Linked DNA regions of Caenorhabditis elegans. The protein of the gene in region 4 purifies or fractionates together with the protein of the main gene of each other region. This does not show direct contact. Each region holds a gene or a part of one and is shown on either strand. Other genes may lie near its edges. The genes, in order: tald-1, srlf-1, cyn-1 and F40A3.3.

Region 1 (6,660 bases), on a different chromosome or scaffold from region 4:
TTAAGCAAGGTCCAACGACAAAAATGATCCAAAAAGCGTTTTCTGAGTTGAAAACTCGAAAATGTTGTTTCGTTTTCGCGAATTTTAAGACAAAAAACTCAATTTCAAACAGCGCGCGCAAAAGGCGCAGCATGTGCGCCCTGCCGCACACATTTCGCTACTGACTATCAAACGTTGAATACTCAGTCAACGACTGTCCTTGGCCTAAAAATCGTCGCTCATTTTACTTTTGGGCCCGTCGTCCATACAAGATGGTGAGTTTTTTCTTAATTTGCATTAAACTTGTCATTTTTGTCATAGTTTTATGCAAATTTTCCCAATTTTTATGTTAAATTATATAATTTTCCTGTTTCAGCCTAGCAAGAAGGTTATCAAGAAGAAAGTCGCCGCTGTTCCGGCGCACATTCGTGCCCAAACTCAAGTCCAGAAGGAAGTGAAGAACCCACTCTTCGAGAAGAGAGCTCGCAACTTCAACATCGGTACGTTTCGAAACAATTCGTAGTTTCTCTCGACATGTGACTAGCGATCCTCTTCGGGGTTGATTGCTTTTCTTAGTGGAGCATCGGGGGCTTTCTGTAAAGTTGACTCCGATCCACCTTGTCGTATACCAACAGTCTGTGTGGCCCTCTACCGCTATTTGAGATGCCCGGGCTGGATTGCATATTCCTTATCCTTCCGTAGATCCTATGGGTCCGTGACGGTTAGGACAAACCATGCAAATTACAAATATCCTAAAAACGTTCCAAGATTTTATTATAATTAAATCTTTTTACAGGACAAGACATCCAGCCAAAGAAGGACGTCACCCGATTCGTCAAATGGCCAAAGTACATCCGTCTCCAGCGTCAATCCGCCATTCTCCAGAAGCGCCTGAAGGTTCCACCAACCATCAACCAGTTCAGAACCGCTCTTGACAGCCAGTCCGGTTGGTATAGCTAATTTTTTATCAGAGTCATGTACTATAAGCAAGCCTTGAGCTTTGCACTGACGCATTTACTCTGATAGGTGAAGTAAGGCTTTTGACTTTACGCTGTTATGTTTCCAGTGGTAATTTTCTGTTTTCAGCTAGACAAGCCTTCAAGCTCTTGGACAAGTACCGCCCGGAGTCGACCGAGGCCAAGAAGAACCGTCTCCGTGCTCGTGCCGAGGCTCGCGCTGCTGGAAAGAAGGAGGAGGTCACCAAGAGACCAAACACCGTTCGCCACGGAGTCAACACCATCACCAGACTCGTCGAGACCCGCAGAGCTCAATTGGTTCTCATCGCTCACGACGTCAACCCACTCGAGATCGTGCTCCACCTTCCAGCCCTCTGCAGAAAGTACAACGTTCCATACGCCATCATCAAGGGAAAGGCTTCCCTCGGAACCGTCGTCCGCAGAAAGACCACCGCCGCTGTTGCTCTCGTCGATGTCAACCCGTAAGTTTCAGATTCTATAGTTTCTTGAGCAAATAATTATTTCTTTGTATTCAGAGAGGACAAATCTGCCTTGAACAAGCTCGTCGAGACCGTCAACAACAACTTCAGCGAGCGTCACGAGGAGATCCGCAAGCACTGGGGAGGAGGTGTCATGTCCGCCAAGTCTGATGCCAAGAAGCTCAAGATCGAGCGCGCTCGTGCCCGTGATCTTGGAAAGCTCTAAATTGTTTTTGTTGATAATAAAAACTTGTTATTCAAAGCTTGTATCTTTTTCAATAATTGGTAGTCTTCGTGGTACTCATTTGGATCGGTCTTGTTGGATATTGTTGAGAACAGTTTTCCCGAGAAGTGTCTCCCTAGTTCGTCGTTGTCTTGGAGCTTGCTGGTTGTCTGCGATATGGTTTCACTGAACAATTCTAGTTGGGTTCAATTCCGGGTGTCACAGCCACAACTGTCCAGAAACTTGCAGAGTGCGATAAGAGTTCGGCTATTTTGTGTATCTTGCCTTTACAGTGCTCTTTAAATTACATAAGGGTTCATTAAAATACGTAACGAAATATTTAAGGGGAAATCACAACACTGATGAAATTGGGGAAAACTAGTAAGCACGACAAATACATCAATCAATACAATTTAGATCTTTGCCTCGATAAGCTTCTCCAGAGTTCTGGCGTCTTTGGCAAAGTTGCGGATTCCTTCGGCGAGCTTCTCGGTGGCCATGGCGTCCTCGTTGAGAGCCCATCTGAACGCCTTCTCGTCAATGCTCACTTTCGGCAGGTCGAGTGTCTTGGCTGGAAAATAATTAAAAATTGCAATTTTTAATTGATTAAATCTCCCGCTCACCATGAGAAGTGGAGAGCACAACTGGAGCAAGTTCCGTCTCCGCAGCAAGTTGCTTCAGAAGAGCCGGAGAAATAGTAAGAAGATCACATCCAACAAGTCCCTTGATCTCTTCAGTATTACGGAACGAGGCAGCCATCACTTGTGTCTTATAGTCGTATTTCTTGTAATAATTAAAGATTCGAGTAACACTGACAACTCCTGGATCGTCTTTTCGAGTGTAGGCCTTCTGATCGGTATTCTTCACGAACCAATCCATGATTCTTCCGACGAATGGCGAGATTAGGGTGACTCCTGACTCGGCACACGCGACTGCTTGCTCAAAGTTGAAGAGCAGTGTCATGTTGCAGTGGATTCCGTGCTTAGATTCGAGGAATCTGAAAATTTAATTTTTTGCTGATTTTGAACTATTTCCGTTATAATTAATGCCTTAAACTCTTTTGAAAAATGTCAATTTGGGTCCAATTGAGTAGATTTTCAGTAGAAAACTAATAGAAACGAGACTTTGTATGTTTCGAAAAGGTATGTCCGTAGATTTTAGGTGATTTACAAGAAAAATCGAAGCATTTCTAGTTTTTAATTTAAAATGTGTTAATTTTTAACAATTTCATCTTGTATAATTCGTTTTTTAATTGATTTTTTCGAAACTAGTAGTGTTTTAAACCAAGCAAATCATCAAAAATGGGTAAAATTTCATCAAGTTTGATTTTTAAAAAAAAGTTTTTTAACTGAAAAGTTTTCCTAAAATCTCCAATGCCGTACTTAGCAGCCCGAATTCCTTCCCAAGTTGAAGCAAGTTTGATAAGAATCCGATCCTTCGAGATTCCTTCCTTCTCGTATTGAGCAATAAGTCCAAGAGCCCGATCAATCGATGCTTGAGTATCAAATGAAAGACGAGCATCAACTTCTGTGGAAACTCTTCCTGGAATAGTTTTCAGGATTTCTTTTCCAAAAACTACAAAAAGTCGATCCATAGCCGCTTGGAGCACTTCTTGATGTCCACTGGCGTGCTCTTTTGCGTAGGCAACTGATTGATCGATTAATGCTGCGTATTGCTCCATTTTTGAGGCGGCCAGGATGAGCGATGGGTTGGTAGTTGCATCTGTTGGCTGGAATTCCTTGATCGCTGAAAAAAATCGATTTTTTGAGAACAATTTTTGAAAAAAGTACTTTTTTCAACTGGAAAATTCGAGTTTTATTTTTCGATTTTTGACTTTTTACACAAAATCGAGGAAAAAAACAAAGGTGTGCGCCTTTAAGACTTACAGTAACCCATTTCCTGATTTTTTAAATTAATTTTTCACGCTTTTCATCTAAATTCTTGAGAGAAAACGTTGAAAAATGAAAAAAAAAACGAAATTGAAGGAACGTCTGGGTACTGTACTTTTGAAAGGCGCAAACACATTTTTTTCAAAATAAATATTTTTCACCAGTATTTACAAAAATTTAGAAAAAAGAGAATTCATCGAATTATCCAAAAAAAGTTTTTCACAGCTTTTTTTGGAATTTTTGAAAAATTCTAATTTTTAAATGGCACATTCCAGAAATTTACAATACTTCCATAAAATTTAATAGTATTTATTTTTAAAATGTTTTAACGAATTTTTTGGAAACTTCTTGAAAATATGTATTTTTTTCTCTAAAAAAATTAATTTAAAAAGTTCAAAAAGTCAGATTTCTATCTGAAAATCGAGAAATTTACTGTTTTTTACATTATAACAGTGGTCTTCCTAGAAAAATCGAATTTTCAGATAATTTAATTTTTTTTCAAAACTGCCAAAAAAAATCAATTATTCACCACATTTTCGAACTTTTTCTTAATGTTCAAAATTTTTACCATTAAAATCTCCAGTATCCGCAACAACGACTGATGCTCCTTTGAGTTGTTCCAAAACCGACATGATTTCCCTAGAAAAAGTCAAAAAAAAATCAATAATCGTGAAAATTACGGGAAAAATCGCGTGAGAGAGATCGAATGGAAAGTGCAGCCCATTGATAGCATCAAAGATAACAAAAACCGTATCAAAAAAATTTCAAATTTTTAATAGATATAATGATAATGATAATTCGACTAACCAATGTGAAAACAATGAACAATGAACAAAAAATAACAAAAAAGGGGGAAAATTTCAAAAAAAAAGTAACAACTCATAAAAAAATGACGATAAAAGGAGTAGGGAAGTGAGAAAAACAGTTTTCGAAAAAAAGTAACAAAAATGATGATAAAAAGGTATAAAGTAAAGTAGTAACAAAAAAACAAGAATATGACTAAATGTGTGTAGTTTGCAGTCTGTAGTTTGTAGCCTCTCAACTATGATGTGTCGTCGTCATTTCGAACCATTGACGAATCGATTCGGCAATCACCGATGGTAGTTGTTGAACTGATTTGACGAGAGCGTAGAATGGGAACGGGAACAGGGCGAGGTATGGCGTGAGTACCTGCAGGAAAAATTGGAAATTGTCAGCAGTTTTATGGGGGCAAATGGCAAGAGAATCGGGGGGTTTTCGAGAAAAAAAAGAAAGTAAATATTGTTCTTTGTAGTCAAATATGATCAAATTTCACACATTTTTTTGGGAATTTTAACACGAAAAAAAGGAAAAATCTTCAAAAATTGGAAAATTTATTGAGTTTTGAAATTTATTTGCGAAATTCCTTTCGAATATTTTGACCTAGTTTCAATTTTTTGTTTCATTTTTTAAATATTATTTTAAACACAATTTCTCACATTTTCAGACAGTTTTCCGCAAAAAATTATTTAAAAATGTGAAATTATCGATTTTTAGGTCAAAATTGAAGCGAAAATCGTCAAAATGCCAAAAAAGTCTACTGAAATTTAAATTTCAGACCTAAAAATATACAAATAATCGGCCATAGAAGACTGAAATAACGAAAAAAAAACTTTTGTAATTTTAAAAGCAAATTTTTGCTGAAAATCCTATAATTACCGTAACCTCGGCGTTTGTTCAATATCGAGAATGGAAAATTACCAGTTTTTAAAAAATTAAAATTAAAAAAAACGTTTTTTGTAGTCAAATATGATCAAATTTCACACATTTTTTGGGTATTTTAAATGAGCGGCAATTCTAGAAAATGGTCTGTTGCACCATGTTGTTCCAACATTTTTACAACTTGAAATTAGTTTAAAAATATGAAAAATCACTCGATTTATTTGAAAATAACATTAATTTCAGCTGAAGCCTTCGAGAAAATGCCCAGAAATGGCTTGAAAGTTGACTAATTTCGGCAATTGTCAACTTTCTGGCCTTTTTTGAGCAATTTCTCAAATTTTCAGTCGAATAAATGTCATTTTCAGATAAATCAACTAATTTTCTATACTTTGACACTAATTTTGGAGGAAAATGTTGAAAATGCATGGTGCTACGTCACCTCGAAAACAATTTTTTTTTCAGAGTGTAACTTCAAATAAAATGGAAAATGTATATTTTTTTAATTGGATTTTTCTTTAAAAAATACCCATAATAATCTAAAACTGGGATATTTTTGAAAAAAAACATATTTCCAGTCAAAAATAGCAGATTTCAACTGAAATCGTCTGATTTTGAAATTTTAAACATGCCAATTACAAGTTTTGGGTGAAAATGTTGATTTTTTAAACCAAAATTGGCAAATTTTCACTAAATTGCCCCGATTTCTAGCTAAAAAAATCCTGGAATGTTGAAAATGTGATTTTTTGAATGAAAATTTGCGAAATTCTATCTGAATCAATTTTTAGAAAATTTTCGGGTTAAAAAAATCGATTTTTCAATTTTATTCGATTTATTAGTTTTTTAAAAATTAAATCGTTCAAAATAACATCTGAAAAATTTTTTTCCTAAACGATTTTTGAAATTTTTGGACATTTTTACTTAAAACAAAACCGTACCACTTTATTATCCTTAAACGATGCAACCGTATGATCTTCAATCGATTTCTTTCCCGAATCCAACACAATAAAGAGCACAGTGACACCTTGAAGAGCCGAATAAAGAGCTCGAACCTTATCAGCACCCTGTGATAAAGCACCTCTTCCATCTGAAATCACAATGAGCATTTGCTCAGAAGTTCCCGTTCTCATCTCGTCGAGCTGTTGCTTGGCAGTTTTCAGGAGCAATAAAAGATCAGTTTTCTTCTGCGAAAATGTCATTTGTTTGAGCATTTCAATGCTACTGCTCGCCGAAGCTTCTCCGAATGGAATGATTGTATTGACGTCGGCTCCGAATGAGCACACAGAGACACGTCCAGCATCACAACGTCGGAGAGCATCTTCCACAATGCATACGGATTCACAAGTGTTTTGATGGATTCCGTTCTCGTTCATTGATTCGGAGTCGTCGACGGCGATCAGGATCTGGAAGAAAATTAGAATTGTATTTTTTTAAAACTTAAATTATCATATTTTTCT
Region 2 (3,187 bases), on a different chromosome or scaffold from region 4:
AGTCTGGAACACAATTGGGAAACAAATTAAGTTTGATTGAAAAAAGAAGAGAAAAGGGTCATCACAAATCAGAGATTGTGAGACCTTGAACTTAAAGTGATAGTCTCTCGTACTTTTCTTCATATGGAGAATATCACGGAGTAGAGAAAATAATATGTTTTTGGAAGTAGAATCGATCATTTGAAAACTTTAAAACAATAGTTATGAAGCCGTGTTTTTTATCTCTAAAAGCTTTATTTTGTTCATACCATGAAATATTTTTATTTGACAGTGTCCAGTTTACTACGATTTAAAAATTTTCAGTTTCAATGTTCAAAAAACTGAACTTGAGCACTTTTTCTACACAATATCCTAAGTACTAGTATGCGCAAACAAACAGGTTTGTGTCAACTTTACCGCTCAGTCATTCATAAAAAGTGTACATCCAATCTAAACATAGATACACATGCCTATACTGAATATTCTAGTTTTTATATGTTTGCTAGTTTCAATTGAAATTTGAAGAGCATCACGATTTTTATTAGAATTAGAGCTCATTTGGGCAAAAAGGGAATCAATCGAATGAGAACGAGAGAATGAGTGAGGGTATTTACAAAAAAAAATTGAGAGGTTCTTTGGTTGATCAGCACTTATTGTCCTTGGGCCTTCTCGAGCTCAGCCTTGACGTTAGCTGGGAGGGAGTTGAGGTAGGCTTGGATCTTTTGTCCCTTGGCTTGAACAGAGAGGGAGCTGTCATTGGAGATGGCGGTAAGGTCAGCATCGGCCTGAAAGAAATTGAAAAGATTAAAATTGATACTTTGGTTTTATTCCGAAAACTAGTAGATGTAGTATTTGCAGTGCTAGTACAAATCCGACTAGTTTATCTGATTTTACTTTTACGTAATATATGGCTTAATCTAGTTGGTTTATCCACATTATCTTACTTTCTTGGCAGCTGGAGAGAAGTTGGAAACAGCGGCTTGATGAGCAGCCTCAGCTTGTCCCTGTTGTCCCTTGATGAATTTTTGGAAGTCAGCCCAGTCAGCAGCAACCTTTCCTCCTTGTTGGTTAACCCAGGCTTGGACCTTTCCGTCAAGAGCGGTCTCAGTCAAATGACCGTTGGCTTGAATGAGCTGTTGGAAGCTCTGAAGTTGAGCTGGAGTGGCATTACGAAGGAATGGTGGAACATCTTGACCTCCGGCTGGTTGTCCGTAGACAGACACAGCGGCGACGGCGAGAAGAGCAAAAACGGCAAGACGGCACATTTTAAGTGAATCAGAAAGAGTATTAGAAGACGACTGATGAGGGATGTCCAGCAGAAATAGTTTCTTTTATACAATCGACGCTCATAGTCATTTCTCTCTCCCTCTCTATCTCTATCTCTCTCTCTGTGCCGCCCTTTCGCTCCTCCCACACGTAGATCATAGATGAGACAGTATGGAGACATAGAGAGATACAGTGTGTTCGCTGAAGTTGACCAGTTTTCCGATGGAAAATCGCTGAATTTGAAACTTTTTCAACACAATAAAGAAGCCGTAGTGACGAATAAATTTAGAATATTGGAACAGAAGTTAAGAAAGACGTCATTGAGATAGAACGCGGACAGAGGTTCTCATGATTTTTTAAAATTCCGTTACAGATTCGATTTTCATTCTGTCTTCTTGTAACTGAACTGTTGTGTTGAAAGTCACATATCAAATATCTGGATTTCGTGAAAAATGAAAGGCTCGGAAATAGTAACTACTCTTGGAGTGTGATCAAATATTTCACTCTACAAAATACAAAAGTTAAAAAAAATATTTTTTAGTTGTCTCGATTCGAAATTAAAACTCCTTTCCCAACAAGTGAAATGACTTGCGAAAAAGTACTCTAGAACTATTGCATGGAAAATTTTCCCAACTTTTTCAAAACCTAGTGTTTTTCAGTCGATTTACCGGCCTTTTGCTTTTTTTAAATGATTTTATCATTATTCTTCATTTCCTTTTCCCTAACCATCATCAATATGAAACGTCTGACCTTTTGTCGGTATCTATCAATACGAAGATCTATCTTTACATCTTTCTCGTCTCATTTTAACACTTTCCTCAATGACATCATTCATCTTTTTAAGCTTATCATAGAAATGAAATAAGGTAAAATTTGAAACAAAAGGTGTTGTTTGTGTAGCCTTGAACTCATTTTTCTCTTTTCAGTATATTTTATTATCCGTTTTATGTGTATCATCTTCGAGGTTTTTCCATCTAAAATCGTAGTACCAATCCGTTTTCTTTCCTGTTTCTGCCTTCAGTCGATCCCATTTTATATCCTTCGATCACTTCCTGATATGGAAATAAAACTGTCGGTTCCTCCTTTTCTTGACTTCTTCATTTTGTCAAGCACCAACATTCTGTGGTTTCAATGACAACTTCTGATTTGTTCCAATGATCGAAACATATCTTTAAATGCTACAAGTCAGAATGGAAAGATGGTCAGAAGGTGTATCGAACAATTAAGTTTAAACTGAAAATGAATCGAATTTCTGACAACCAGCTTGATCTGTACAGCTCTAGACTTATGTATCTACCAAAACGTAATTCTAATTAGAACGTTTTGTTATGATCTATTTTTCTTGAGAATTTTCGTGAGTTAGACTACTATTCAAAACACAATTTCATTATTTATCCTTTAACATTGTATATGCCCTCGGAAACCTACACTTTCCTTCATTCAGATATTATCTCTAGTTTTATGACGTGGTCATCCATAAACATGTAAACGTCATTGTTTCTTTGTTCAGTTGATGTGCCAAATATGTACAAACGGACCATTTCTTTATAGGCGACATAAATCTTTTCGCTGACCTATCTAACAGAATATAACCTCAAACTACGTTTTCCCATATACCGACCGAAAACCAATGAAATTAAATCTGAGAGTTCGGGAATGTATACTTGATGAATGAATGCCGAAAATCAAAAAAAAAGAGAAAACAAACAGGGCTGATCGTTGAGAGTAGAAAGAGTTGAAATACAAATAAACTTACTACTGGAATCCTTCAACTTTTCGCACATTGGACATTTCTGCTCCTGCAGAGCACAACGAATGTAATTTAAGTGTTTGGGTGAAAGTAAAACTAGAACATTCCATTCAGATGGGAAAACAAAGAACATTAGGTGTATCTCTACTGACTGTAAATATGTGGAATTTAGTTTACAATAAATACTCATAC
Region 3 (5,147 bases), 6.5 Mb from region 4:
GTCTGAAAAATGTGCAGATGCACATCATGATTGTAGATTGATTGCTGTTAAATGTTTATCACCCAATCGAATAGAACAGAAGCTTATGGAAATTGCTTGTCCTCTTACATGTGGATATTGTATTAATTCTAAAACTGGTGGAACAACTACAAGTACAGTACCCACAGATGAGATTATCAAACCATTCAAATGTATTGATGAAGCTGATGATTGTGCAGATAGAGCCAATTTTTGTCAGAGAAAGTTCTACAAACGCATGATGAGTTTACAGTGAGTTTTTGTCTCATTTTTCTCCAGCAGCAAATTTTAGGAATTTTGCGCCAATACGGTACCCGGTCTTGGCACGACATGTATTTTCTTGTAAAAATTTCAATGTAAAAACACGTGCGGTTTTAAGGAGTACTGTAATTTAAACATGTATTCTGTTTTCATTGATTTTTCAGTTTTTGTTTAAAAAAAATTTTTTTAATAGAGTTTTCTTTTTAACTAAAAAACTGTAAAAATCGATCAAAATTCCCCAGAAAACCCGAATTATAGTACTCTTGAAAAGCGCACGCCTTTTATGGTGCGTCCATAGTCTGCGGAAAACGGGAAATTCCCGCTTGCGGAAGCGTCCATAGTCTGCGGAAAAAAACAAGGAGTTTCTCGCTTTGTTATTGGTCAATTTCAAAATAGTGGGCGTGTTCAACCAATTAGGGGCTGTAAAATTTTAAGCTGAGCAATGGGAAAACAAGAAACAACAGCTGATTGGTTGGCCACTCCTACTTTTTTGAACTTTGAGGAAAAAAAAAAGCGAGGAACTCCGGTTTTTCCGCAGACTATGGACGCTTCCGCACGCGGGAAATTCCCGTTTTCCGCAGACTATGGACGCACCATTAAAATTAACAAAAATTTGTCGCGTCGAGGCCAATTAGTGTATTATTAACTTTTTAAATGCAATTTCAGATGTGCAAAAACCTGCAAATTTTGTGTTGACGATGACGAGTACGAAGAAGAGGAAACAGAGGATAGCCGGGAAATTCATATTTCGCATTTGAAATCCAGTAAGCTTCTTCCGACCTGTTTAAACATATTCTGAAATATTTAGAAATGGGTGAAAAAACTGTTCAAAAATTGGAAGAGTTGAAAATAGTTGACAATGTGATTGATCTTCTGAGAAATGCAACAACTCCCACGACGTTCATGGAAAAGAAACCGCGAAGGTTCTCGAAAAGAATTGAAAATATCTCATCGGAAATGACTGATACTGCAGAATGCGTGGATCGAGCATCAGATTGTGAGAGGAATCAGAAGTTGTGCACACATAGAGCCTATTCTCCACTTTTTCGTAAAATTTGTGCGAAGACGTGTGAATATTGTACATCGGCAGATGATATTGAGTCTTCTGGTGAATTTTTATAGACCATTGCTTTTGCTTTTCACTTTTCTGGTAGAAAATAAATCTGTAAGACTTAATTTTTTCCAGTTATTTTTCGAAAAAAAACTAAAACTTTACTAATTAAAAACAATTAATTAAAAAATAATAACAATTTGCTAACGCTAATGAAAAATATTTTTGAAACAAAAAAAACAATGAAGTTACTCGCTCTTCAACTCTCCGCAATCGGCGATTGTGACAGTCTTGGCTGGGGCTCCGGATCGGGATCCCATCTTTTCGATCTTCTTCACAACAGACATGCCGTCGGTGACTTGTCCGAAAACGACGTGACCTCCATCAAGCCATGGAGTGTCGACTGTGCAAATGAAAAACTGAGATCCGTTGGTGTTTGGTCCAGCGTTGGCCATTGAAAGGCATCCTGGTCCGGTGTGCTTAAGATCGAAATTCTCGTCCTTGAATTTATTTCCGTAGATTGATTCACCACCAGTTCCGTTGTGGCGAGTGAAATCTCCTCCCTGAAGAATTGAATAATGTTAATGAAAAATAGTTAAAACTCATAGTTCGAAACTAAAAATTACCTGAATCATGAACTCTGGAATGATTCTGTGGAATTTTGATCCCTTGAAGTGAAGTGCAACTCCTTGCTCTCCGACGCCCTTCTCACCGGTGCACAATGCGCGGAAATTCTCTGCTGTTTTTGGGACAACATCGTTGAACAACTCCATGGTGACACGTCCTGCTGGTTCTTCTCCAATACTCACGTCGAAAAACACCTTCGGTCTTTGAGAGGCGAATCGAAGTGATTGACCGGCAAGTGAGGAGGCACGGAGTAGAAATTTCATTTTACCTGAAAAAAGAAACAAAACTAATTCAAAAACGTGCAGAACAAAGCCATAGGATTGAATTTAAAGTGAAAAAGAAAATAAAATAAATACTAATCTGACAAAGCGCAATCAAATTCTTTGCTTGCGCGTTTCTCGTGCACGCGAAAAACGCCAAGAGATTTGCGAGGTAATTCAAATAATAACAATTTTTGTCAAATATCCCACCGTACTATTTAAAGGCGCGTGGTTTAGAATGTGTAGGTATCGCATAGATTCTAATTTTTGTTCGAAATTAATAAAATTTTGTATATTTATTTGATTAAATGTTCAATTTGTTTCGATCTATTTATTAAAAAATATTACAAATCATTTTATTAAATGCGTGATCTTATTTCAAAGCTAAAATCAATAAATTTTCCGGTGATACTTCTGGCGGCACGTATTCTACAACTCTCGTCTTGAATCCAACACTTTCCAGCCAAATTGCTCGTCCGATTTCAAGGATGGCTTTCGCTCTTCGTCCAAGCTCTAATGGCGGATGAATTGACTTCCATCCTTCAGTTGCTTCTGTATCAACTGCTCCATTTGTTGCAAACGATGCAATATATCGAAGTGCAGCAAACGAAGCTTCATCATTCATTTCCCATTTCTCCAAAAAATCATGTCCTCCATATTCTGCGAATCGCGATTTGTGATGGCAACAAGGGATCAGAAGTGCAGCGTTGAATTGTAGACCACTATTCATCAACGATCGAATTCCAGCGTCTGTCGCGCTTCCACAAAAATGTTTACAGATTGCCAAAATCTTTTCAGAGTTCTAAAAAAAGATAAAGATTTTTTTGGATAAAAACTGTAAAACTCACCTTCAGCTCATCAATCTTGCTCAAGTCCATATGTTCAATTGAGCATCGGAAGCGTTTCATTGATAAATTCGGATTCTCTCGAAATGCAGCAGTATCAAATTTATTTCGTGATCCAGAGCGATCCATGAGAATATAATTTCCATTTGGCGCTGCTTTGGAGATCCAATAAGCTAGTTGACCTTTTCCAGCTCCGAGCTCGAACATGCAAGATTTGGAGCAAGTTGGAAGTAGCCCTGTGGATTCGATGTGACCTGAAAAGAAAATTATTAAAATGGAAATGCATTTTATAAAACCTAAAATAGACGAAATCTGGTATAATTGCTTCTTTTTCGTGTTGTTCAGATCTGAATTTTGTGCGATATTTTGCTCGACGAGCTCATTTCTTTGTTGCTCAACAATCAAACGATCCATTACATCCGTCTCATAGCACTTCCAGATCTTGTGCACAGTGGTACAAATCTCATCTTCAGTGGCTCTTCGATCAATTTTATCGGTGCGTTTGGTCTCGCCACGAATAGAATTTGCATCAATTTTGATATATTCTGCATCTCTGATTCTAGAATTACACCTTGTCAGATGAATCTCTAGATCTGCCTTCAGAATCGTATGTTTTCCATCATTCGGGCAAACCATACGATCAGTGTTATTCTGATCGTGAATTGAATGCTCTCCACAGAACCGATTTCCCTTTTTCACCAGCATCTTACACCGTCGCTTCTTAATTGGTAGAATATATTCACAGCAAGCGTTCTGCTGTTGTTGCTGCTTCACCGAATCCAATTCCATTTTGAAAACGAGACCTGCGTGCGAGATATTTGTGATTTTCCTAAAGTTTATTGCTATAGTTGAATTGGTGTGTCTCAAAAGTATTATACATATCACAACACAGTAAAACGTGGTTCGTAAGACTATACGGGTTGGTTGTCGCAAAAAAAGAAATGGAAGGGCACAAGTAAAGTAGTCTATTCAACAAGAAGAATACCAAAAATATTGATTAATATAAGTGAAATTGTTGTTTAAAACGGGAGTTGTAAGGCGACCAGATACATTGTGTGTGGTTGGAATTTTTTGAAGTTTAGAAATCTACAAAAGAGAAAAAAGGTGCAATAAATATCTGAAATTTGGAATGTCAAATCAATCAAACACTTTAAAGAGGATAAAAGTAGAGAAAGGAGGCGAATTGGGTGAGGGGATCAAGGAAAAACATATACTTTTAACTAAAAAGTACACGCTCAGCAAAACTGAACAGAATCTAGCGGGGAGGCGAAAACAGAAACAAACAAGAGAATCAATTTTAAAATTTCTAAAAACATTAATTTAATCCTCGAGGTTTCTGAAAGCGTTAGCCATAGCCTCTGCCAAATCTTCGTAATCCTTGCGAATCTTGGCTTCACCATCGGCAACTGGATCCTTGAATTTCATGGCAGAAAGCTGGTAGATCAAATCTCCCATGCTATCCTTGATGACGTTCCATGTGATCTTGTTATCAGATTGAGCAGTTGCTTCAACAGCATGACGGGCCAAGTCATAGAATCCAATCATATTCTTGAGCATACCGACAGTCTTGTAGAATGGGCAGAAACGATCGTATTTGGTGTATCCGTTCTGTTGCAAGAAATCGTCCTTGATGATCTTGGCAACCTCAAGTGTGACCTTGTCTGATTCGGCGAGGGAAGCTTTTCCGACGAGTTGCACAATTTCGGAAAGATCTTCTTCTTCCTGGAGGATCTCCTTGCACTTGGTACGGAGTGAGACGAACTCTGGGTAGTTCTTCTCGTAGAACTCCTCAAGAGCACGCATGTACTCGGAGTAGGAAATAAGCCAGTTAATAGATGGGAAATGTTTACGTTGAGCAAGCTTCTTGTCAAGTCCCCAGAACACCTGTACGATACCGAGGGTGGCGGATGTGACTGGATCGGCGAAATCTCCTCCTGGTGGTGATACGGCTCCGACAATGGTGACGGATCCTTCACGTTCTGGAGATCCGAGACACTTAACACGTCCGGCACGTTCGTAGAAGGAAGCGAGACGAGCGGCAAGGTAAGCTGGGTATCCGGAATCGGCGGGCATTTCTCCGAGACG
Region 4 (5,449 bases):
TCCCAATTTATGATAATATCAACTCACACATATAAATCAAAGCCAATGGAATAATTGTTAAAATTCCAATAGGACCGATGCTTGACGTGAAGTTATTGTACCATTTGTAAATATCTTTAGTGTCAGCAATCTCGCAATACTTTCCAGAATATGGTACGGTACACGTGCATTCGGTCAAGTCATAATTTGGCATTCCATTTCCATGACAGTCAATGATGTCACAATCGGTACCCGCCCATCCGAGTTCACACTCAATACAACTTCCATTCTGAAGGCGTTCGAATCCAGAACAGTACATTTTGCGATGGCATAGTGTACCCGTCCAGCCTTCGATACAGTAACAGCGGTCACCTAGAAAGTATGATTTTTCAACTTTTGGATGTTTCAGGTGATTTTCGAACACCGCCGATTATATAATTGGGTCTCGAACGGATTTTACAAGAGCATTCTCTACAAATTTTGAGAGTGCGCCTTTTAGGTTGTATTGTGGAAATTTCTATTTAATATTTGAATTTTCCACGTATGTAACTCATCCACAACTTTTCAAAAAGTTGTTTTCAAAATACATCTTTTCAGGCATTTTTAAACCTAAAATTACGGTACCTGCTTTTGCCACGAACGATATATTTTCTAATTGAGGCATTTGAGGCCGCGAACGTTAGCGCCTTTAAGAAGTACAGTAATAACACTTACCTAGTTTTATTCAAATTTTCCGAAATTAAATAGTTTTGTTATTTTCTTTTGTGTTAGTCCAGTTCTTCAACAAAACCATGCTTTTGGTAAAAAAACGTAGCAAAAATACCGTATTATTTAAAAACGCATACGATCCCGCATGGTCATTTGAAAATATTACGTTCGTGGCGGTACCTGTATTTTTTTAAAGTAGTTTTTAAGTAGTTTAATTGGAATATTTTTTGTATAAACGTTTTCATTCCGTTTTTTGAGAAAGTTTTCTTATTTTGAAAACTAAAAGAACGAAAAATTCAATGAATGTTAAGAAGAATAGAATAAATTCTAGAAACAGGGCAATAAATGTATCCGGTTTTCACCTTTTATTTTCAAATTTATTCTACAAAACCTTTCGATTTTAATTCTAGGTTTCTCATGTCATACATCAAATTTTCTAATTTGAAATTTATATGTTAGCCCTGAAAGATTTATTAATCACCTTCAGGAGTTCCATTGATACATGGCTTCTTCTTGCGGAGAACGCAGGCTACTAAAACAATTAGTATAGCGGAGAGAAGAATCCTCCGAAGCATTTTCTGCTGCAGCAATTACCTCAACAAAAAACCTGTGTGTTTTTCTTTTTCTGCCCTTAGTTCAACTTTAGTTTCAAAGTCAAGTGGGTGCAATTAGGTAAAATATCGGAGAAGACAAGAAAGAAATTAAGAAAATTTTTGGATTCGAAGAAAGACACTGGAATCAATTTGGAAAACGGAAAAGAAATTGGAGAATTGTATTGTAAATAGACTGTGGATGAGAATGGAGGGTTAACATGATAACCTGCGAGCGAAGAAGACAGAAATTTGGAAGTCGTCGGCGTCAGAGAGAAGAAAAATGAGAAGAGACGAGAATGTCGAAATGGGAGAATTCGAATGGCCACTGCCTGGTAATCAGTAACGATGATTGGAGGACGGATAGGGAGAGAAGATAACAAAGTTAGAATCGTCTGAAGATTGCGATTTGTTTATCATCGTTTCATCAAATTTATTTACTTCTTGGATAGGAAAAAACTGGCTGATAGAAAATCACAATATAAATTACAAACTTTGTATTTAGCAATTTTACAGAAGAACAACTCATGCTCCGAGTTGCTTGTTGAGAATTGGCACGTAGTCGTCGTACTCGGCCTGGAACAGATTTCCGAAGACTGGAGCACCGAGCTTGTGCTTTGCGACGAAATCGGCAGCCTTCCATCCTCCTCTTTTGTCTCCGGAAGTGTTGGTTAGACGTCCGTGCTCGGCATCTTCGATGCGTCCAGATTGCTTGTAGATCAGGTAAACGTAACGATGGAGTCCAGTTTTTGGTGGTGGTCCGGCGCCGATGTACTCGGAAAGAGTGTCTCCTTTGGCAATGTCGTTTCCTGGAATGTTGACGACGAGCCAGTGATGCCACTCTCGGTAGGTTGGCTCTTTGCGAGATGGAGCATCTGGATCCGTCTTGATGAGAGTGTAGAGTGCTCCTGGCTCAGCATCCCATTTTACTTCTGGAGTATCCTTTACTTGGGTTGGAGTGAGAACGTTTCCAAGATTAGCCTGAAAACATTTTTAAACATTTTTAAATTTCTTTTTTTTGAATTACCTCGACGCCAGAGTTGAACTTGACAGACACAACCTTGGATGGTGGGTTGGAAGCGAGAACGTCTGGAATGACCTCGTGTTTGGTGAATGCTTCGGCGGCCATTGTAGCGAGACCTCTGAAATAAACAAAAAGGTTTAGTTGAATAAAAAAATTGGAAAAGAAGAAAAATATGAACGAAAACCTTTGGAATCTAGCAGAAGTAGTTGCGGCAGCGAATGGAGCTCTAGAAGCAAAAAATAAGGCGGGGAGCAGAGATCTCGTTACCAGGACGACCATCCTTAATTTATTTTTTTATTATTTTCTCACGCGAAAGAAAAACAATACAATCAATTAGTTTTCACTACATACCGATGAGAAATCATGTTTTGTCAGAAGACAAAATATCAGGAATGGATGCAAACAACGAAACATGTCGAGAGAAACTTATTTAGGTCGTGTCAGAACGAAAATTTATTATTTGAGAATGTAAAAGATATCAATTTGAACATCGAAAGCTTTTTTCTCGGTTTAAATGGCGATAAAAGTGAAGAAAAAATTTAAAAAAAAACAGCGAATTAATTATTAAAATGTATATCTTGCCCACGAGTAGTACGGAGCTAACTCGTGGCGAGACCTTACTAAAAAATCCTGGATGCGCCTTTAATAAATACCTAAAGTTACTGTATTATTTATTATTTTCGCAAACATTTTCATTTAAAAATGAATTTTCGATCAGATAACAGTTTTGAAATCATCAAATTTATTTACAAAAAAATCTTCGGTTCACATTAATACGGGCGCAGCGCCTGCAACGGAGTTTCGTTGTTCTCTGCGTCTCGCTGCACTTTTCCTGTCTAACTGTCAACACATAATTGTAATGTTTGTGTCTTTTGGAGAAATGTTAAATTAAAAATCGACTAGAAAAGTGAAAAAAAAACTGGTTTCAGAAAACATCGAAAAAAATGATAAAATTACGGTACCTCTTTAAAGGTACAGCCTGGTTTCAAAAGGTTTCATGGCCTTATACAAAAACCTTATACAAATTATTAGGTCCAAAATCGCTGATTTTTCTTCGCTTTTACATAAAAACGACTAAAATCAGCCATAATTGTTAGATATTCTGCATAGTTCAAAAATTTATTGGTACACAAGGCAAGACCCATAACAAAACGTATTCTATCGAAAATTACAAAATTCTTAAATAATGTTCAAATTTCAATGGGATGACTTTTTCGATTCGAGTGCAGTGGAGATCTCTCCTCGTTGTTGGCACGGCGACAATGAAAGAAACAAATGAGAAATACGGCAATGATGATGAGAGCTATCACGATGAGCAATAAGGCGACGACCATTCTGAAAAAATGGGTCTCACCAAGAAGAATATTAAGAATGAATTGAAGGAACTAACCGATAGATTCCATCGACGGTTTGATGAATTTTCCTAGTTGTGTCATAGTTGTCATAGATTATTCCTGAAAAAAAAATTAATTTTTTGTAATTGTCTCGAACTTCTTTTTAAAAACAGTTTTCACTCAACAAAAATGCAAAAAACATGTGTAACTTCGCGGCTCTTGGGGACATGGACTAACTTGAGATTTCAGGAATTTTTGACTATTTTTTTTAGTAAATCTTCAGAAATAATTGATTGAAAAAGAAGCAACTGAAAATTAGAAATTGTTGTCCGGATATAGTGACGTCATACTAAATTTACCGTGCGACACCAGTGGAAAAATAAACGAGTATAAATTGTTTTTTTTAATTACTGGTTTAAGATCAAAAGGAAAAGGTGCAGTGTGCCGATTCAATACATCACATTTTACGAGCAAATGTTTGATTTCCAAAAAAAATTAGTGCGTCAAATTTTACAAAAAAAGAATAATTCACCCTCACGCGTACAAATTATTAGTATCTCATCACAAAATCCACATGCACCAAAGCACATTTTCGTTTCTACTACAGTACACTTTTGACTAACCGTCCGCAAAAAGAATACCTAAAAGACCATTAAGAATGGCTTTCTGCTCCTCACGAATCGATGAACTATAACTATCCATTCGCGACATGGTTTGTTGTTTTTTGTTTCTTGTTTGGAGAAAACTGATGATGGACGAGTTCACGGACGACACATTTGATCCTTTTTCGCCGGAAACTGCAAAAAAAAGTTAGAGGAAATTGGATAAAAAATAAGAGGAGGTCAAATGAAAACGAAATGAGTTCGAAATATAGAGGGTATTTTGGATAAAAATGAAATTGAGAGAGGGATTACTTTAAAAGTGCAAAGTCACTTTGACACGTTTTTTTTCGTTTTTATAAATTAATATTGAAGATCTGTTAAAAGCAGTTTATGTACCGTCACAGGTAATCTAGAAATATCTTTGAATTTAAAATTAATTATTCAGACAGTCTAGGTAAATAATGTTGCTATTTTTAGTCGAAATGCCAAAAAAAAACTCATCAATTTGTCCTATGTAAATAACTTCAAAAACGTTGATGAATTCTGTGCAAGCATCAGAGTTCAAACCTAAATTACAGGCAGTAGGCATGCAGGCATAAAGATGCGCCTACTAACTTTTTAATAATTAAAATCAACCAGCAAGCAATTTTCCTATTATTATATGTTCAGCTCACCAAACCCTAGTCTCAGTTTCAACCCGCACTGATATTGTCGAAAATACGCAAAATGCCAAATTAGTGCTTTAAAGCAGGTGTCAAATTGAATCAGCTATATCGCGCAAAAAAATACTGATGTTTGTGGAGAAAAAAAACGCGAGAAGAAAAAAGTAAACTATTTCTCCATACTCTAGAAATTCTGGTGGACGGATTTCTTTTTTTGTTTGCTCAAGAAAAATGTGGGGGGTCTAAGGAGATATCTGGCAGGAGGATACATTTTAAATTGGGAATCGGATGATCTAATTGGAGAATCGGGTGCTAGTTTTTGACAGGTTTAATTGATGGAAAAGAAGTGTTGAATTTTTGGTGAATTTTGGTTCGGTTGAGACAATTTTAAGTTTTTGTTCTCAAGAAAAAGGGTATGCGTTTCAATTTAAAAAAACATTTGGTTTCATTTTTCGAAATTTGATACTTTTCACCATTAAATTTGTTTTCAATAGTTGCCATTTTTTGGTTTATTGTGTTGATGATGTATGTTTTCTGGATTCAATTTGAG

Evidence for each region.
Region 1: the proteins of F40A3.3 (region 4) and tald-1 fractionate together in Caenorhabditis elegans (co-fractionation; one large-scale study listed by BioGRID). This does not show direct contact.
Region 2: the proteins of F40A3.3 (region 4) and srlf-1 fractionate together in Caenorhabditis elegans (co-fractionation; one large-scale study listed by BioGRID). This does not show direct contact.
Region 3: the proteins of F40A3.3 (region 4) and cyn-1 fractionate together in Caenorhabditis elegans (co-fractionation; one large-scale study listed by BioGRID). This does not show direct contact.

What each region holds. Positions count from the first base shown.
Region 1 is NC_003282.8:4,384,156-4,390,815, reverse strand, and holds tald-1 (Transaldolase), read right to left. Parts: upstream 4,166-6,660; 5' UTR 4,159-4,165; coding exon 4,095-4,158; intron 3,384-4,094; coding exon 3,020-3,383; intron 2,635-3,019; coding exon 2,261-2,634; intron 2,209-2,260; coding exon 2,051-2,208; 3' UTR 1,936-2,050; downstream 1-1,935. Other genes in the region: rpl-7A (Large ribosomal subunit protein eL8), read left to right, coding at 252-254, 356-479, 776-925, 1,066-1,417, 1,472-1,640; F55F10.1 (Midasin), read right to left, coding at 4,565-4,696, 6,142-6,606.
Region 2 is NC_003280.10:7,788,689-7,791,875, reverse strand, and holds srlf-1 (SXP/RAL-2 family protein Ani s 5-like cation-binding domain-containing protein), read right to left. Parts: upstream 1,285-3,187; 5' UTR 1,245-1,284; coding exon 924-1,244; intron 765-923; coding exon 630-764; 3' UTR 501-629; downstream 1-500.
Region 3 is NC_003283.11:14,353,154-14,358,300, reverse strand, and holds cyn-1 (Peptidyl-prolyl cis-trans isomerase 1), read right to left. Parts: upstream 2,226-5,147; 5' UTR 2,221-2,225; coding exon 1,957-2,220; intron 1,894-1,956; coding exon 1,579-1,893; 3' UTR 1,480-1,578; downstream 1-1,479. Other genes in the region: Y49A3A.4 (ShKT domain-containing protein), read left to right, coding at 1-270, 946-1,043, 1,088-1,401; Y49A3A.3 (tRNA:m(4)X modification enzyme TRM13), read right to left, coding at 2,591-3,019, 3,066-3,316, 3,359-3,851; vha-13 (V-type proton ATPase catalytic subunit A), read right to left, coding at 4,383-5,147. UniProt on the Caenorhabditis elegans protein: PPIases accelerate the folding of proteins. It catalyzes the cis-trans isomerization of proline imidic peptide bonds in oligopeptides.
Region 4 is NC_003283.11:7,874,746-7,880,194, reverse strand, and holds F40A3.3 (Phosphatidylethanolamine-binding protein), read right to left. Parts: upstream 2,667-5,449; coding exon 2,653-2,666; intron 2,582-2,652; coding exon 2,486-2,581; intron 2,420-2,485; coding exon 2,305-2,419; intron 2,259-2,304; coding exon 1,803-2,258; downstream 1-1,802. Other genes in the region: F40A3.2 (EGF-like domain-containing protein), read right to left, coding at 28-351, 1,169-1,262; F40A3.4 (Envelope glycoprotein N), read right to left, coding at 3,492-3,636, 3,692-3,755, 4,277-4,346.